2 linked regions of the Tamandua tetradactyla genome follow. The protein of the gene in region 1 binds, or shares a complex with, the protein of each later gene. Links are inferred from orthologs where the notes say so. Each region holds a gene or a part of one and is shown in the gene's direction. Other genes may lie near its edges.

Region 1 (7,448 bases):
TTCTGAGCTTCTGTATTTGCTATTTTCTCTATACTAGAATGCTCTACCACTATGTTTCTCCTTCACTAAGTCTCTGCTATAATATTAGGTTGAATATCCCTTCAGAAAAGCCTTTCCAGTTGAGTCTCAGTTGCCACAAACCAATACCCTGCTTTATATTCTATATCTCTACTTGAAGTTATAGTATGTGTTTATGGCCTGTCTCCCCCATTAGAATAGCTTCATGACAGGTGCTTTGTTTCATTAAATACTATTTCCACAGTACTTAGAATAATGCTTTCACATAGCAGCAGTTCGGATATTCGTGCATTTAAATGAATGAATAAAATAAGACTTTCTAATAGCTGGAATTATCTTAACATAATTTTCTTAAATTTTGAAAAAACTGCTTTAAAAAATACAAGTTTAGTATCTCTAACAATACTGTTTAAGTATGTTTAAAAAAATGTGTATGTTGATTGATAGTTTTTGTGGGTACTTACTATGAATTTAGAATTATACTAGATATTATGGGAGAAATAAAAGAATGAGATAGAATCCTTTTCTGCAGCAAATTTTAATATACTTAAGACAAGACAAACATAGGAATGATCTAGAAATATGAATATATACTGGAGAACTAAACTTGTGAGGTCTAAACTGTGAGCATTCTAAAAATTTAAAAGAGAATTTATCAAAGAGTCAATAGAATATGCCTGAATATCTCTCACAGGACAATTTAAAAGTAATTGAATAACAGACATGTTTTAAATGAACCATCTTTAGTATTTCCAAAATATTTAATTGTAAATACTTTCTAAAATTACCTCATTAATAACAAATAATTTATCTTTACGATCCATTTTAGTATCTGTAAAAAGAAAAAAGCCAAATAAACAAAAGATTTCATAGCTACTTCAATCAACTCATATTCTAACTAGAAGGTAAAAGTGTTTTACTTCTTTAATTTAAAAGAAATTTTACTATCATCAAACTGATAAGACCTGAAAACACATGACTTCTTTTAAAAATCTTCATTCTTTGTTAAATACAGAGAAAATCAATAAGCAGAAAAAGTCCCATAAACCAATGAATATGTTTAAGGATCCTAGTTCAAGAAAGCATTAGAGAAATTTAAAAACTTTATCGATGAAAATACCTTTCAATTCTGAATCATCATTACCAAAGAAAGCTGATCTTAAAATACTGATTTTAGATTAACACAGAAAAAGAAAACGTATACATTAAAATTTCTCTTATTAGTTTTAGAGATCTAAGAATACAGCAGTAGACCCAGAGCTTGAGAAACTGGTCTAAAGACCTAAATTATTACATAGAATTAAAACCAAAAGCACCAACCAATAAAAGCACAGAAATAGCTCCATAACAGTACTACAACAGTTTTAAATTTGAGATCTGACATTCTTCACTTCCCCATTACTAATAACATTAGTTTGGTATTCAAAAGCACGCTGAATCCAATTTAACTGTACATAAAATCTTATCCCAGGCTTTAAAAAGGAAAAAAACCCCACAAAACTCAGAAAGCAATACATTACAGTCTTAAATCATTTAGAAGGACAAAGCATCCTATGTATTTCAGGACCTCTGAGGGCATTAAAATGAAGACATTCCTGGACCTTGAAGAAATATTTCAATAAAGTTAGGATATTCTGTTTAAGAAAGTGAAGAAAAGATCTAATGGGTTCTAGAAAGAATTTCCAACAAAATGTTAATTGGAAAAAGTTGGCATTTGAAAGGATGAATTTGAGGTGCTGTGGTTCTTAACTTGACAAGATTGGACAAATGAAGCGTGACTTTGCGTAAACTACACAAATGAGCCAGTTTATAAGTAGAAAATTTTAAAGCATGCAATATAAACGCACCTGCTTTAGAATGAGGCATCAGCATTCTTAAGTCTTGCATTAAATGTCTCGTTCTGAAATTTATTCCTCTGGAAGAAAAGATGAGAATCCGTTCCTTATTTTTCCACTTGCCCTAAAGAAAAATAAAACTAATGTTAAGATTTTAAAATATCATACAGCACCTACCTTGGTTTTTTTTAAAAGATAGTTTTTAAAAAGCATCTAGTTTTTCCAACAATGCACCACCTTAATGTATCAAGACTAAGGCAGAGTTTGACTCTTGAAGAGAATTGTATAAATATATAACTTTTACAATGTGACTGCATGACTGGACCTTGTGTCTGATGCTCCTTTTATCCTGGGAATGGATAGATAAGTAAAAAAATATAGATTAAAAAATAAATAAATAATAGGGGGATAAAGAGTAAAATAAATTGGGTAGATGGAAATACTAGTGGTCAAAGAGTGGAAGGGGGGAAGCACAGGAAGCATGAGTTTTTTTCTTTTTTCTTGTTCTTTTTCTGGAGCGATGCAAATGTTCTAAAATACGATCGTGATGAATACACAACTATGTGATGATACTATGAGGCTTTGATTGCACACCATTTAAGGACTATATGTGTGTGAAGATGTATCAATAAAAATATCTTTAAAATAAAAAAATAAAACTCAGAACAAACCCCCCCAAAAATTAAAAAATAAAACCCAAAACAAAACAAAAAAAGACTAGGGCAGAGTGATAACTCTGCTTCTTCTCCCATGTGAGTAATTCCGGGAACTGAGATATTTCATTACATAGAAATATACAAGAAAATAAGACTGTAATGTCTACATATAAACCTCAATAGAGTATATACAAGTTTAAAATCTCTCTACCCCTGAAATAAAAATGGGCTCCTCATTCAAGATTTCTTGCACAACAGAACTTAAATATTAACTTAATATTTACTAAATTCCTACCAGGAGCCAAAAACTGTTCTTTCAGGATGGAGGAGGGAGGTGAGACAGATAGGAGATATTAAATAAACAAACTAATAAAGACATGCAGGTATGAAAGAGCATGAAATGCTAACAATAGTTAGAATTGTTTCTAATAGAATAGCAAACTATGGAAAAGGTAATTTCCTATAGATAAGGAAAGCAGAGAGAGTATAAAATTCCAGGTAGCAAGTCAAGCAATCCTGAGCCCTTCTATTCAACCTCTCAAGCTAATTTGGTTCTACTTTTAAGATTTTCAGCATTTTCCAACTTCAACAACATTGCTCTCCCTTGTACTGTCCCCTCTCACTTTGAATATCAAAATCTTACCCTTCCTTGGGATCCACTCAAAGGCTAAGTCCTTACCTAATTATCCCAGGGAAAAAGTAATCTCTATCCCCTGCACCTCCGAAGACTTTATCACGCTGTGACTCAGAAACTTACATTTTCCTGCTCCTTAAAGAAAAAGTGAAGACACTAACATTTACTGAAAATTTAACTTGTTCTTCACAAAAAGTAACTCACATTTTCTTCCTCTTAATTTGTAGATAAAGAGCTCAGAATGTCAGTTAATGAAGAACTGGGCTAGAATTTAAGCTCATTTTTCATTCTTCATAGTTCACTCCTTTCCTAGAACCTGCCACTACATCACAAAACACTCAACAATTGTTCATCTATTTGTTTCATCTACTTATCACCTACTGTATGCTAGGTTACTACATAAACGCAGGAGTCAAATTAACAAACCAAAAGCAATACTAGTCTTGACAGTACTAAGTTCTCAGTTGAAGAGGTCGCTTACTAGTTAGCTTTGCAATCCCAAGACCAAAGAGAACATAATCTTCGAATTGTGCCTGGCACAAGAAGTTTGTTGTATGGAGGCAAAGCTCATACAATCTTGTCTAGCTTTCAGGATCCCTTGAAAGTTAAAGATTTGATGAGATAAGTCCGAGTCAGTCTCAAGGACAGAGACTTTTTAAAGGACCGCAAAACAAGCTTCGAGATCCCTAATGGTGTCTGAGTAGAGCAGAATATGAGCATATTAACCACAGAAAGACACTCAACGACAAATAAACTAAAGAAAAGTGCTCCCCTACCAAAAAACTGAGTAATTAGAAGGCAGAACACGGGAGATAAGTCGCTTCCCCGCGACACGGGAAGTGCTCCAAAGCCCGCCGCCTCCCGAAGAGAGGCCACGAGGACGCAGCTTAGACAAAACGCAGCGTCCAGCGCCGCCGGGAGCAAAGAGAAGACCGGAGTCCTACTAAATACGGGCTGCTTCTAAGTAAACCGAGCGTTTACAGGTAAGCAGAAGCAGAACGGCGCGTGGAGTCGCGGCAAGTGCAACCCGAGGGTAATTCCTTCTACCTTGCAAACAGGGCCAGGGATACGGTCTTTCTCTTCATCCTCCACCTCCTCTGCCACGTCTCGTGGCTTAGCCGGCGACTCGGCATCTTTTTCGTTTCTTTTCGGCCTCTTGGCCTGGATTGCCATGCCTCCACGCCGTTTTCTCTTGACCACCGCCATCTTGCCTAACACTGTGCTCTCTCCCTTCCTTCCGGTTCTGTCGCTCTCTCCCTGTGCGATCTCTATGGTAATGTAGTGACTCATTCCGGTCTGTGCGGTACCTTCTTCTAGACTCTCTAGCCGTCCTCCGCCTCTGTGGTGACGGTGGCCGAGGCGGCTTGCAGGTTTGAAGAGAGAGGTGGGAGGGATTCCACTTTCTCCCCATTTCCCTGGAATTGGAGCTCCCTTCCCGGGTGAACTGGCCGGGAAGAGCCCTCTGGCGTTTAGGCCTCAGCTCAAAGGTAGAGTTTCCCACCCCCGGGATTCCTGGATGAGGAAACGGATGCTTTCCCGCGGGCGGGCTGATGAATGAGGTTGTCTGGAAATCTTCGAGGACCTCCTGCGGAGTCGGGGTCTGTCTGCCCCTATGGCTTGTTCTGTTAGCATCAGGGTCGGTGGCGCGGGACAGCTCGAAACAGACCCAGTGGAGATACATAGTCCCTACTTACTTTGGCGAAACTGGTTCCAAGTAGGACTACTGTGTGTCGGTTGCCAATTCTCATTCTCACAGCTTTTCAGGTAGGAGTTATTGTACCCATAGAAAGACGTAGGAACCTTGTCCTAGAGAGGTCCAGTAATTTGCCTCAAAGTGAAGAGACACTCAGGTGGTAGAGGTGGGGTTCACGCTCTGGCCGGTCGAGTTCAAAGCCCGGATCCTTTCCACTTGGCCTCACCATTTCCACGCAATTCAATATTGCCGGACCTCGCCAGCATTAATGGCGTGTTTTATCGTCTAATTTCTTTCGGTGTTTCGTTATCTGCAGGAGCGGGCGTTGGCCCCAGAAGCATCCCCTGGAGCCGAGTGTGCTATGAACGATGCCCCTCCTAACGCCACAGATCCAAGCTGAGAATGATCAGTACAGCTTAGTGGCCAGCCTTGACAATGTGAGGAATCTCTCCAACATCTTGAAAGCCATTCATTTCCGAGAACATGCCACATGTTTTGCTACTAAAAATGGACTCAAGGTTACAGTGGAAAATGCAAAGTGTGTACAAGCAAATGCTTTTATTCAGGTATGGACATAGGCACCTTTCAGCCTGTGACATGATATCCTTGACCCAGTTTAATGAATTCCAAAGGTCTTAATATACCTAATTTAAATTTGAGAACAAAATGTGGTTATTTGCTTATTTGCCTCCTGGAAACAAATTCCTTTTCTATCTTGTTTTATAGAGATAATGATTAATAATAAGGACTAATATTTATTAAGGTAAACTACAGGCTAGAAACTCTTCTGTTTTATATGTTTACCTCATTTAATTCTCACAATAGTCCATATTATTCCCACTTTACATTTGTGGAACTTGAGGCACGGAGAGTTTTAAGTGATATGGCCCAGTCCTACAGGTGGTAAGTGGCTGAATTGACCTGAGAACCCAGAATGTTTATGCTCTTCACCACTACATTATTACAACCTCCCTATTACTAAAAAAGATTTTCTTTTTATTTATTGTAATAGAATCTGTTTTTTCTTATAAAGTAATATTTGTATGCCCAGATAGGATTTCAGATTCAATTTAGCATTTTTTAACAACTAAGTGCCAAGCACATAGTGACCTAAGGGATAGAGGGATAGATGAGACGTTGTTCCTATTCTCCCCCAAAATCGAAAGCTAATATCATGTATATATTATTAAATTGTTGTCCCATTTTCCAAGTGAACTTAGTGGTACATATGAGCACAAAAAGGAGATGAAAGGGGAATGGTTTTCGATCCGGGAAGCTGCAGAAAGGATGCTTCATAAAGTATGCATGGAGCCTAAATCCCTGCTGCACCTTTACCTTTGAGAAGTGGTATTCTGATTATGGTTGAAGAAAGTGGGATGTGCTGATCAGTAATCAGAAATGAGTCTCATGGTGTTAGTGCAATATTGTTAAAGCTTATAAAGTGAAATATAGAAATTTATAGGTCATTAATACATGTAACTACATTTTCATGGTTTTTGTTTTTTTTTTTGTAGGCTGAAATATTTCAAGAGTTTACAGTTCATGAAGAGTCTATTACATTTCGAATTAATTTAACCATCCTTTTAGACTGTTTATCTATTTTTGGATCAAGTCCTATGCCAGGTGAACCATCTTATTATAGTTATAGCAACATAAAAGTATTATACAGAATGGTCAGAGAAATGCAGGAAAGTTATTTAGAATATAAACATCTCTTTAAAAAATTGCTAGTTCATTTTCAATTGGTCATAATCATGGCCTCAATTCTAACTTTTACAATATTAACAGAACGTATTTATATTTCCTTTCATATGTTCAAAAATATTTATAGTTATCTTGTAAGACAATTCGGAGTTGAGTTACAGTTTACAGCATTTTATTCAGGATACCAAGATTGTTGCAGCAGCAAAGAAACTTTTAGTCTGAAAAAGCAAAACCGATTTCAAGGCTGGGATGTTTGTGGGTAGTTTTATAAACAGAAAGAAGGAAGATGGCTAGGCTTTGTTGGTTTGGAGCAGGAACCTGTTAGTCTTATAGAGTTTTTATTTTTATTATTTTTATTTATTATTATTTTTTTTAACATGGGCAGGCACGGGAATCGAACCCTGGTCCTTGGGCATGGCAGGCAAGCACTCTTACCTACTGAGCCACCGTGGCCCGCCCTAGAGTTTTTATTTTTAATAAATAAATGGGGCTTTATTTTTAATAGGACTAGATGTGCTTAAGTAGGGGCTTAATTAGCTCTTTGGGATCAAGTGTCCTGAAAGGGACTTTCCAAAGAAGATGTTGTCACATCATCCTATGCTGGTTTGAGGAATTTAACTTTTGTGTTGGTTCTGAGAAAACCTAGGAGCTATTTTTTACTATACTTATTAATCTTTTTTTTATTTGCAAGGCTTTCAATGATTTCAAATCAGAATTGACCAAAAGAAGACCTTGAACATGTTTTAAATATCTTTAACTTTGTGAAATATGTTTTGGTTGCTTCTTTTCCCTAATCTGTCCAGAAATAAACAGCTAGTTGGTGGCAAAGAAAAACAGAAACCAGTTCTATAGACTCACAGTTTACTGTATTCAGTTTGTTGGCTTTTTATCCCTAATTCTGCATTATG
Region 2 (7,505 bases), on another chromosome or scaffold:
CCCAACTTCTCAACTAAAGTAGCACCAGTGGGAAAAATCCTGCATTAGCTCAAGCATTCCTTCTTCTCATGGGTAAAACATAATGTTGCCCAAGGGCTCTTCCAGCCCTGACCTGCTGTGATCCTACACCTTCTCTGATGATTTCCTCTTCTCTGAGGTCTTTAGGATTAGTTTGGAAAGTAGGAAATGGACTTAAAAATAAATAAATAAAACATGGTTGAGTAGTCCAAATTTCTTATGTTTCAACATGATTTGTAACTGGTTCAGCAAATATTGCTGTTGTGGGCTTCATTCACAGATTCACAGCCTTGGCCCTGGCTGCACGTTAGAACCACATTCAGAGATCTTTAAAAACACCAATGACCAGGCTGTGCCCTACTCTAATCAAATTAGAATCTCCTGCATGGGGCTCAAATATCAGCATTTTTAAAACGAGTGCCAGGTGATTCTAACGTACTACCAGGGTTGAGAATCTAAGCATCCTAAAGCTTAGACCAAGTCATACATTTGAAATCCTCTGAGTCTGTTGAATGATCCAGACCATTTTAATCCCTTCTAGACTGGCTCAAAAGGAATAACATGAAGGATGGGTCTTTCCTTTTATCCCTTTTCTTGTGAAATCATCAGAGGTGTAGGATCACAGCAGGTCAGGGCTGGAAGAGCCCTTGGGCAACATTATGTTTTACCCATGAAAAGAAGAAATGCTTGAGCTAATGCAGGATTCTTCCCACTGGTGCTACTTTAGTTGAGAAGTTGGGACTGGAGGATAGTTAGAATCTGGATAAATTGGGGATAGCTAAAGAATGGAAGAAAAAGTTCACTTACCTGGTGAACTCATACAGATCCTCCAAGATACAGTTCAAATACTACCTTGTCCATGAAGAGCGAAATCTTGTCTAAGATGCATTCCTTCATTCCCGGCTCCAGGGCCTGGGCCAATAGTGGTAAACCAGTAAGACAAGGACCCTCTTCTCATTGAGATGCCACACTAATACTGGTGGGATCTGAATCCCTTCTCCATGCCAGGCACCTGGTCACTGAATCTTCTAACCACCCTGCAGGTACCAGGTACTCTACTCTCCCATGCATACTTGAGAAAAGTGAGGCTCAATGAGCTTAAGAAACTTAAGGCCATATGGCAAGGATGTGATGGAACCAGATTCCAACCCAGATCTGTCTGATTCCTGAGGCCATACTCTTTCTGCCATTTATTGAGTGCTAAGTTCTTTTTGTGGATAGTTGTATTTTTCTGAAGCTGCCTTTATAGACTATCCCATGACATTAGAAGTAACCGTGAATTTGTCTGATTCCCCGAACAGACAAGAGGAAACTAGAGCACAGAGGTTAAGACCGAGGCACCGGAACTGAACTCTCTGGGTTCACGTTCCAGCTCTGCCACTTCCTGGTTGTGTGAACTTGGGCAGGATACTTGACCTCTCTGTGTTTCAGATGCCCCATCTGTGAAATGGGGTTGATGATAAGTTTCTATCCATTGGGTCACGGGAGGATTAAACAACAGACCTAAAGTGTTCAGAACAGCAGCTGGCATGTGGTAAGTGCTAGTAAGGGTTAGCAATTGTTATTAGATTGAATTTTTCTGAGGAGTGATCTATCTTATTCAGCTTTGGATACCTAGGACAGCAGAGAGAAACTAGGAACCTGAATGATCTCTTAAAATGTCTTCTTCTATTTTTTTTCCTATTAAAAATCTCCACACTGCCTTCCCCTTCAATCCCTTGGTCCTCCTGCTAATGCCTTTGGGATTGGAATTTGAGTTGTTCTATCTTTATTCTCCTCACCCTTTCCCACTGCTTGTGCCCAGAACCTCGACTAGATGCATGCAGCAGGGGAATGTCTACGAATTCCCATGTAAGGCAGGGAGGGGAGGGGCTGCAGGGTCTCTAACAGCTCCTTTCACATTCCTGCCTCGGCTCTTACCAACCAACCCAACCTGGAGGGCGCTAATCTCCTCCCACCCCCAACCGCGGACCCAGGCTTATTCCCAATTTCCTCAAGAAGTCTCCCAGGGGAATCACAAGCAATCCCTTCCACTTCTGAATGTAGCAACATCCAGCTTGGGTCAATACTTTTACATGCTGATTAACACATTTTTATCTTCACCCCATGAGGTCTGTATTTATCATCTGCATTTTATCAATGATGGAACCTGAGGGATTTCCCTAAGTGGTCCGGCCTGGACTTTGATCCAGTCCTTCTGACTCCGGTTCTAAGCTCTTCCCCTTGATAACCGGCTTAATTCTGGCACCCAGCCTCACTGCACCCTTGGGGCGCAACACCTGGGACCTGGAGCAGGGATGTGTCTTTTCACCCAGTGAGCAACCGCCTTTCGTGAGCTCCTTCCAGGCAGGGACTGAGCCACGCTTCTCTGTAACCTCAGTGTCCAGCAGGTATTAAATTTAGTTTCCGCCCTACTCCCCCCAAATTTAGCTGATCAACTTGTGTCCTTCCCTTGCCTCTACCTGGTCTCTCTGGCTATGCTCAGAAAAGAGAGTTGGGAAGGAGAGAGCACCAAGCTAGCTGTTGGAAAGAGTCAGAGAGCGGGAGGGTCACCTGAACATGAGGTGACTAGGTGAGCTCCGAGGAAGGGGCTCAGCTCATCTTACTTCTTGAAGTTCCTTGGCGGCAGGATGTTGCCCCTGGCGTCCAGCGGAGGCGCTCTTGCTTCACTTCTCAACTTGAGCTTCTCCACCTCCTTCAGCTCCTTCACCGTCCTGTGGATCACTTGGTCCTTCCTGTTCTCATCCAAGAAGATGGGAGTACAGTAGATGAAGGTCAGGAAGCTGTTTTTGCCCATCCAGGACGGAGGTGGGATGGGGGGGTCTGCTGGGGGCTGGTGATGGGTACTGGCGTTGGTCAGCCAGCGCCAGATGTTGCTATCGTAGGGCCTGTCGGGCCGCGAGGGGAAGGTGGCTGGCAGACGGCCCACATCGAGCCATGTGTGAAAGCCCCACGTGTGCTTGGCTGTGTCCGTCCAAGGGTGGTTTAGTCGGTGGCGGACCTTGGACTTTGCTTCTGTGCAGGGTGGCAGCTTCAGGGCCAGTTGATGGTACGCTTGCCGCGTGAAGCCGGGCAACTTCCAGGGCTCACTGGGGAGGAGGAATTCACGCTGGGCCCAGGTATGGTTGGTCGGTTGGGACTCAGAGGCATGGACCATCTGGGGAGAGACAAGAGGGATCCTGGGGACCGCTGGAGGGGTGTTGGTGGGGGTGGGTGGGCACAGAGCCTCCCAGCACAAGGTGCCAGCCTCCTCCAACCCCAGGGTGAGAATGATGGCTTGGCAGGGCACCATTTCTCTCCACTGTCCTGCCCACAGAAGTCATGACTGTTCTGTATTACTCATATGAGTACTCATATGATTTCCCACCCTCCTTCCTCATCTTACATTTCCCCACCCTTCACTTTTAACTTTCTCCCATCCTTTACATTCTAGGGCCCCCAGTTTTCTTCCCAGGAACTGGGGCTCCTAATAAAAGGCCCTGAGGAAATGATAAGGGAAAATGCCTCCCCTCTCCGGTCAGGTATAGAAGCCCGCCTTCTCCAGAGCAAAGAGCCCACTGTTTTTTTCTGTCCTCTACTCCTCTTACTTCTCATTTCTCCACCATTGGTGCTTTCTCACCCTTCTCATTAAAGTAAGAGCAAATAACAAAGCACCTAGAATGTTAATTGATTCTCTTTTCTGAGACTCCTACCTGCTGTGAAACAAATAGTAGCAAATATGAATTGGCACTCTGCTAAATACTTATCCACCTCTCATTTAATTCTCACAACCCTATGTATTGTTATTATCCCCATTTTAAAGTTGCAAAAAGCAAGGCACAGGAGGGTAAGTAACTCACCCAAGGCGCTGAGAGAATGAGTGGCAGAGCTGGGATTTGGACCCAGCCTGTTTCCCTGCTCATGATGCTGAGCCATATGAAGGGGGCTTGGCATAGCGCCTGGCCCCGTGGCTGGAGCTTAGAAATGTCTCTTTTAAAAAGCCCCTCCTTCCTCTCCACCCCAAGGGCTTTTCTGGTTAAAAATTTCACCTATTTCTTGGGCCCAGACCCCTAAATTATTTCTACAAGGCCACCCCAGGCATCTCCTCTTCTCTGCTCTGAGCTCTGTGACCTGTGGTGCAGCATCACAGGATCTGGAGTGGCAGACAGCACAGTGGAGAGTTTGTAGGCTGGGAATCCACTGCAGGGGGGCCAGTCCCTAGCTGGGGAGTCTGCACCCCTACCTGCAGGAAAGGTTCTCTGACATTGGATGGATAAGTCGGCCCTCTAGGAGATCTTCCTGGGTAACTGGCCATTCCTCTTCTGTGCTTCCTAGCCAGGAGGGGCTGCTTTGTAGGAAAGCTCTTTCTTGCTCCATTGTTTGCTGCTGGAGTTGCTATGGTGATCCTTCCTGAGCAGTGACGCAGAGAGGAGGCCCTACCCTCTCGCTGGGAGGGCTCTTCAGTACCTTGGAGCCCTAGCTGCCTTTCAGGTGAGACAGGCAGGGGCTGGGACTTTTATAAATCCTGTCTGCAAAAGCTGGTGGCAGGAGCTGCTTCTGGGAAGGGGGTGGGACTTGCCTTGGAAGGCTGGGGGCCCCGAGAAAAGCAGGTTGGGCTGGCTGCCAGGCCCTGGGGTGGGGGTAGAGGGAAGTCCCCTCTTCCCCAGTGTTCCCAGGGCCTAGGCTGTCTCCTTATTGGGAAGCCCCAAGTTAATCAGCAGGTACAGAGGTTCCAAAGAACAAGGCTGGATATGAGGGCGATAAGCTGGCTTTGCAGGGCCAGCTGGGGAAAACTGCCCATGTCTGTTTTAAGGGTGTGTATTCAGTCCCTTGGATACTTCTTCAGGTCAACTCAGACCCTGCTCTCCCTGTTACCATCATCATATCCTTTCTTTTCCAAGCCTTTTTATGCCTTAGGAACCAGGCACCAACACACCACAGAGACCATCATTTCCACTCTGGATTTTATTGGATAGGGGGTTACAGTAGTGTTCTTGAGCTGCCTGGTGTGCACATGGTCAGCTGGGGCCTAAGGTGGCTCTTTGCAAAGCTGAGGTGCACGCTAAGGAAGCCAGGCAGGTCAGGGGCCCTGTCAGCCCTCTCAGGCCTCTGGCCGAGTTCTCATCGATGCTCATCTCCCCGGCATGATTAGGGACACTATCAGAGACACATCTAAAGGGGGTTCATCTGGACACACATTCTTTCCTTCAGATGCATCTATTTCTTCTTGCAGGAAAGATGACTTGGAAACATGGGAAAGTGGGAGGAAGAGGCAATAAAAGGAATATGGGCAAGGAGATGTCTTTGTCTGGTTGCCTACAGTGAAGACTTTTGAGCTAAATACGTGGGACCTGGAAGAAACTGCACTGCTGGTCTTGTCTTCTTTAGGAACTAGAAACAAGGACAGATGCAAACTGAACCCCCTTGTCACCATACCCACCTTCTAGCAGTCCCTAGATAATGATCTAAGGAAATAAGTTTACATTTATAATTAGAGGGCAATTTTGAGAATATACACTATTTACAAGGGCCACCCCTGAGGGAGCAGGGACAGTGAGAGACTGCTGGACACAAAACAGAAGCAGTTGGGAAGTTCCTAATCTCTTTCCACCTTGTTTTTGCTGTTCCCATGCTTCCGTTCCTGGTAGGGTGCAGAGGTATCAGATTTTGGGGGGAAGCCTAAGGTAGCACAGAGACCAGTTTCCAGGGCCTTGCTGCTTACAGAGGTGCCAGTGGCAGCTAAGTCACAGACTGCTGCCTTGACACAACCGGGAGAGGGGGAGCTCAGAAGAGCAGACGGTCCCTGACTGGTGTTCTCATGGAGGGGTTGGGGTCCAGGAACTTTGGCCTGCCCAGCACACAAATGCTCCAAAGTAGTGGACAGCTTAAGCAGCGAGGGCAAGGCCGGCTTTCTACCGTAGCTCAGGAATGAACTGAGACCAGTTGATGTTGTCAGGGCCCAATGGGTCTTCCTCCAGGCCGGGGAAGCTGATGTCCAGTAGGATCTTGCTGAGACTATCATTCATTGTGTCCAGAACCAGGCCTTCTGTCAGAGAGCGATTGGCTGAAGGGCCAGGGACCTGTGGCTCGGGAGAGCCTGACTTGGGGACTTCCATATCTGAGGGGGGGCAGTTGCTAAAAGGGTCAGAGGGGAGGTCAAAGGGCTCCGAGTTGAGGAACTCTCGGGGTAAATCGAAAAGGGGGATACTTTTCAGTGGGGTGGTGCTGAGTTCCATCAGCCCTAGGGAGTCAGGCAGGGGGGCAAAAGCACCCCGGGGGGTTCGTACTGGGCTGAAATCTAGGCCCTCCACTTTGGTGGGAGGTGTGAGCTTCCAGGATTCAGGGGTTATGGGGAGGACAGACTTGCTCGGGGTGGAGGAGATAGGCAGTGTCTCCTTAATAGGGGTCTTAAAAGGTCCTCCTTCTTCCTGGGAGTAGCCAAGCTGGCAGGCAGGCTCAGAGGAATCTGCTAGGAAAGGGAGCTCTGGGGCTCGCCGGGAAGTGCTGGGACCCTCTGAGTAGAGCAGCTCGGGCTCATCCAGACAGGGAGACTGCAGGTGCTGTTTCCTTCGGGAACGGCTCATCTCCCTTCTCTCCCTTCGCTTAATCACTAGCATTTCAGAGACACACCGGGCTGGGGACTTGAGCCCGCTATAGCACTTCTTAGACCTTGGAGTGGGAGAGTGGGATGAATCGTCCCAGGAGTGAGATGACTCCTCTTTGAAGGATGGGGATGGGGAGGGCCACTCTTCCAAGGGGGGGCTTTCCACTTTGATGGGTCGCGCCAAGTGCGGCGTTTCCTCCCCAGGCTGAATCTCTTCCTCCTTGATGGACTGGACTGGAAGCAAAGGAGACAGCCCTTCTCCAGGCAGGACTTTCTCCTCTTTCACTGGTCCTGCAGTGGGAAGAGGGGCTATCCCTTCCTCGGCTAGCAGCACCTGCAAGGGAAGCAGTTATAAGGTGAAAGGGGCCTCCAGAGGCCTGGTGATTCAACCCACTGCCAACAGGCAGGACAGAGAACTGTGACTAATAACGGGTATACTGGTACTAATCCTCTTTTTGGGCTTTCAACATTTTTAATAACTATTAAATACGAGAATTCAATATGTGATAAATGTGGTAGTTCAATTCTGGGGGTAAAAGATGGAGCATTTCAGATGGTGCTGGCATAATTAGCATACATCTGAGAGAAAATAAAATTGGATGCCTATCTTAAAACAGTATACAAAGACTTAAATGCAAAAATTAAAACCATACAAATCCTGCAAGAGAATCTAGGAGACTACATGTACAATCTGAGGGTGGGGGTGACCTTCTTAACCAAGACTAGAACCCCAGAAGCTGTAAAAGAGAAGAGAGACATATTTGACTATAAAAAAATTAAAAATTTTACTGTGGCAAAAGATACCATAAACAAAGTTAAGAAGCAATAAACAGAAGTAGAAAAATATCTTCAGCATAAAAGACTGAAGGCTAATGTCTATCACATACAAAGAACTCTCGCAAAT

The links.
Region 2: the proteins of RAD1 (region 1) and RHNO1 are in contact, whole or in part, in a crystal structure (PDB 6J8Y), measured with the Homo sapiens proteins. The link is inferred for Tamandua tetradactyla from reciprocal best matches to the Homo sapiens genes RAD1 and RHNO1. Residues at the interface, in NP_002844.1 of Homo sapiens: Asn47, Gly48, Ile49, Lys50, Phe64, Ile65, Gln66, Ser149, Lys155, Ile157, Glu211, Ala212, Lys240, Val241, Ser242, Arg244, Gln254, Tyr255, Met256, Phe266, Glu268; in NP_001239428.1 of Homo sapiens: Ser55, Trp56, Val57, Ser58, Pro59, Asp60, Phe61, Asp62, Thr63.

Annotation. Positions count from the first base shown.
Region 1 is NC_135335.1:84,403,579-84,411,026, reverse strand, and holds the start of RAD1 (cell cycle checkpoint protein RAD1), read left to right. Parts: upstream 1-4,395; 5' UTR 4,396-4,513; exon of another isoform or gene 4,514-4,630; intron 4,631-5,152; 5' UTR 5,153-5,204; coding exon 5,205-5,402; intron 5,403-6,350; coding exon 6,351-6,459; intron 6,460-7,448. Other genes in the region: BRIX1 (ribosome biogenesis protein BRX1 homolog), read right to left, coding at 807-850, 1,866-1,977, 4,191-4,349. UniProt on the Homo sapiens protein: Component of the 9-1-1 cell-cycle checkpoint response complex that plays a major role in DNA repair. The 9-1-1 complex is recruited to DNA lesion upon damage by the RAD17-replication factor C (RFC) clamp loader complex.
Region 2 is NC_135333.1:65,007,246-65,014,750, forward strand, and holds the start of RHNO1 (RAD9, HUS1, RAD1-interacting nuclear orphan protein 1), read left to right. Parts: upstream 1-4,469; 5' UTR 4,470-4,488; intron 4,489-4,944; exon of another isoform or gene 4,945-5,909; coding exon of another isoform or gene 5,910-6,935; intron 6,936-7,505. Other genes in the region: TEX52 (testis-expressed protein 52), read right to left, coding at 2,625-3,175, 4,241-4,312; FOXM1 (forkhead box protein M1), read right to left, coding at 5,910-6,935. UniProt on the Homo sapiens protein: Involved in microhomology-mediated end-joining (MMEJ) DNA repair by promoting recruitment of polymerase theta (POLQ) to DNA damage sites during mitosis.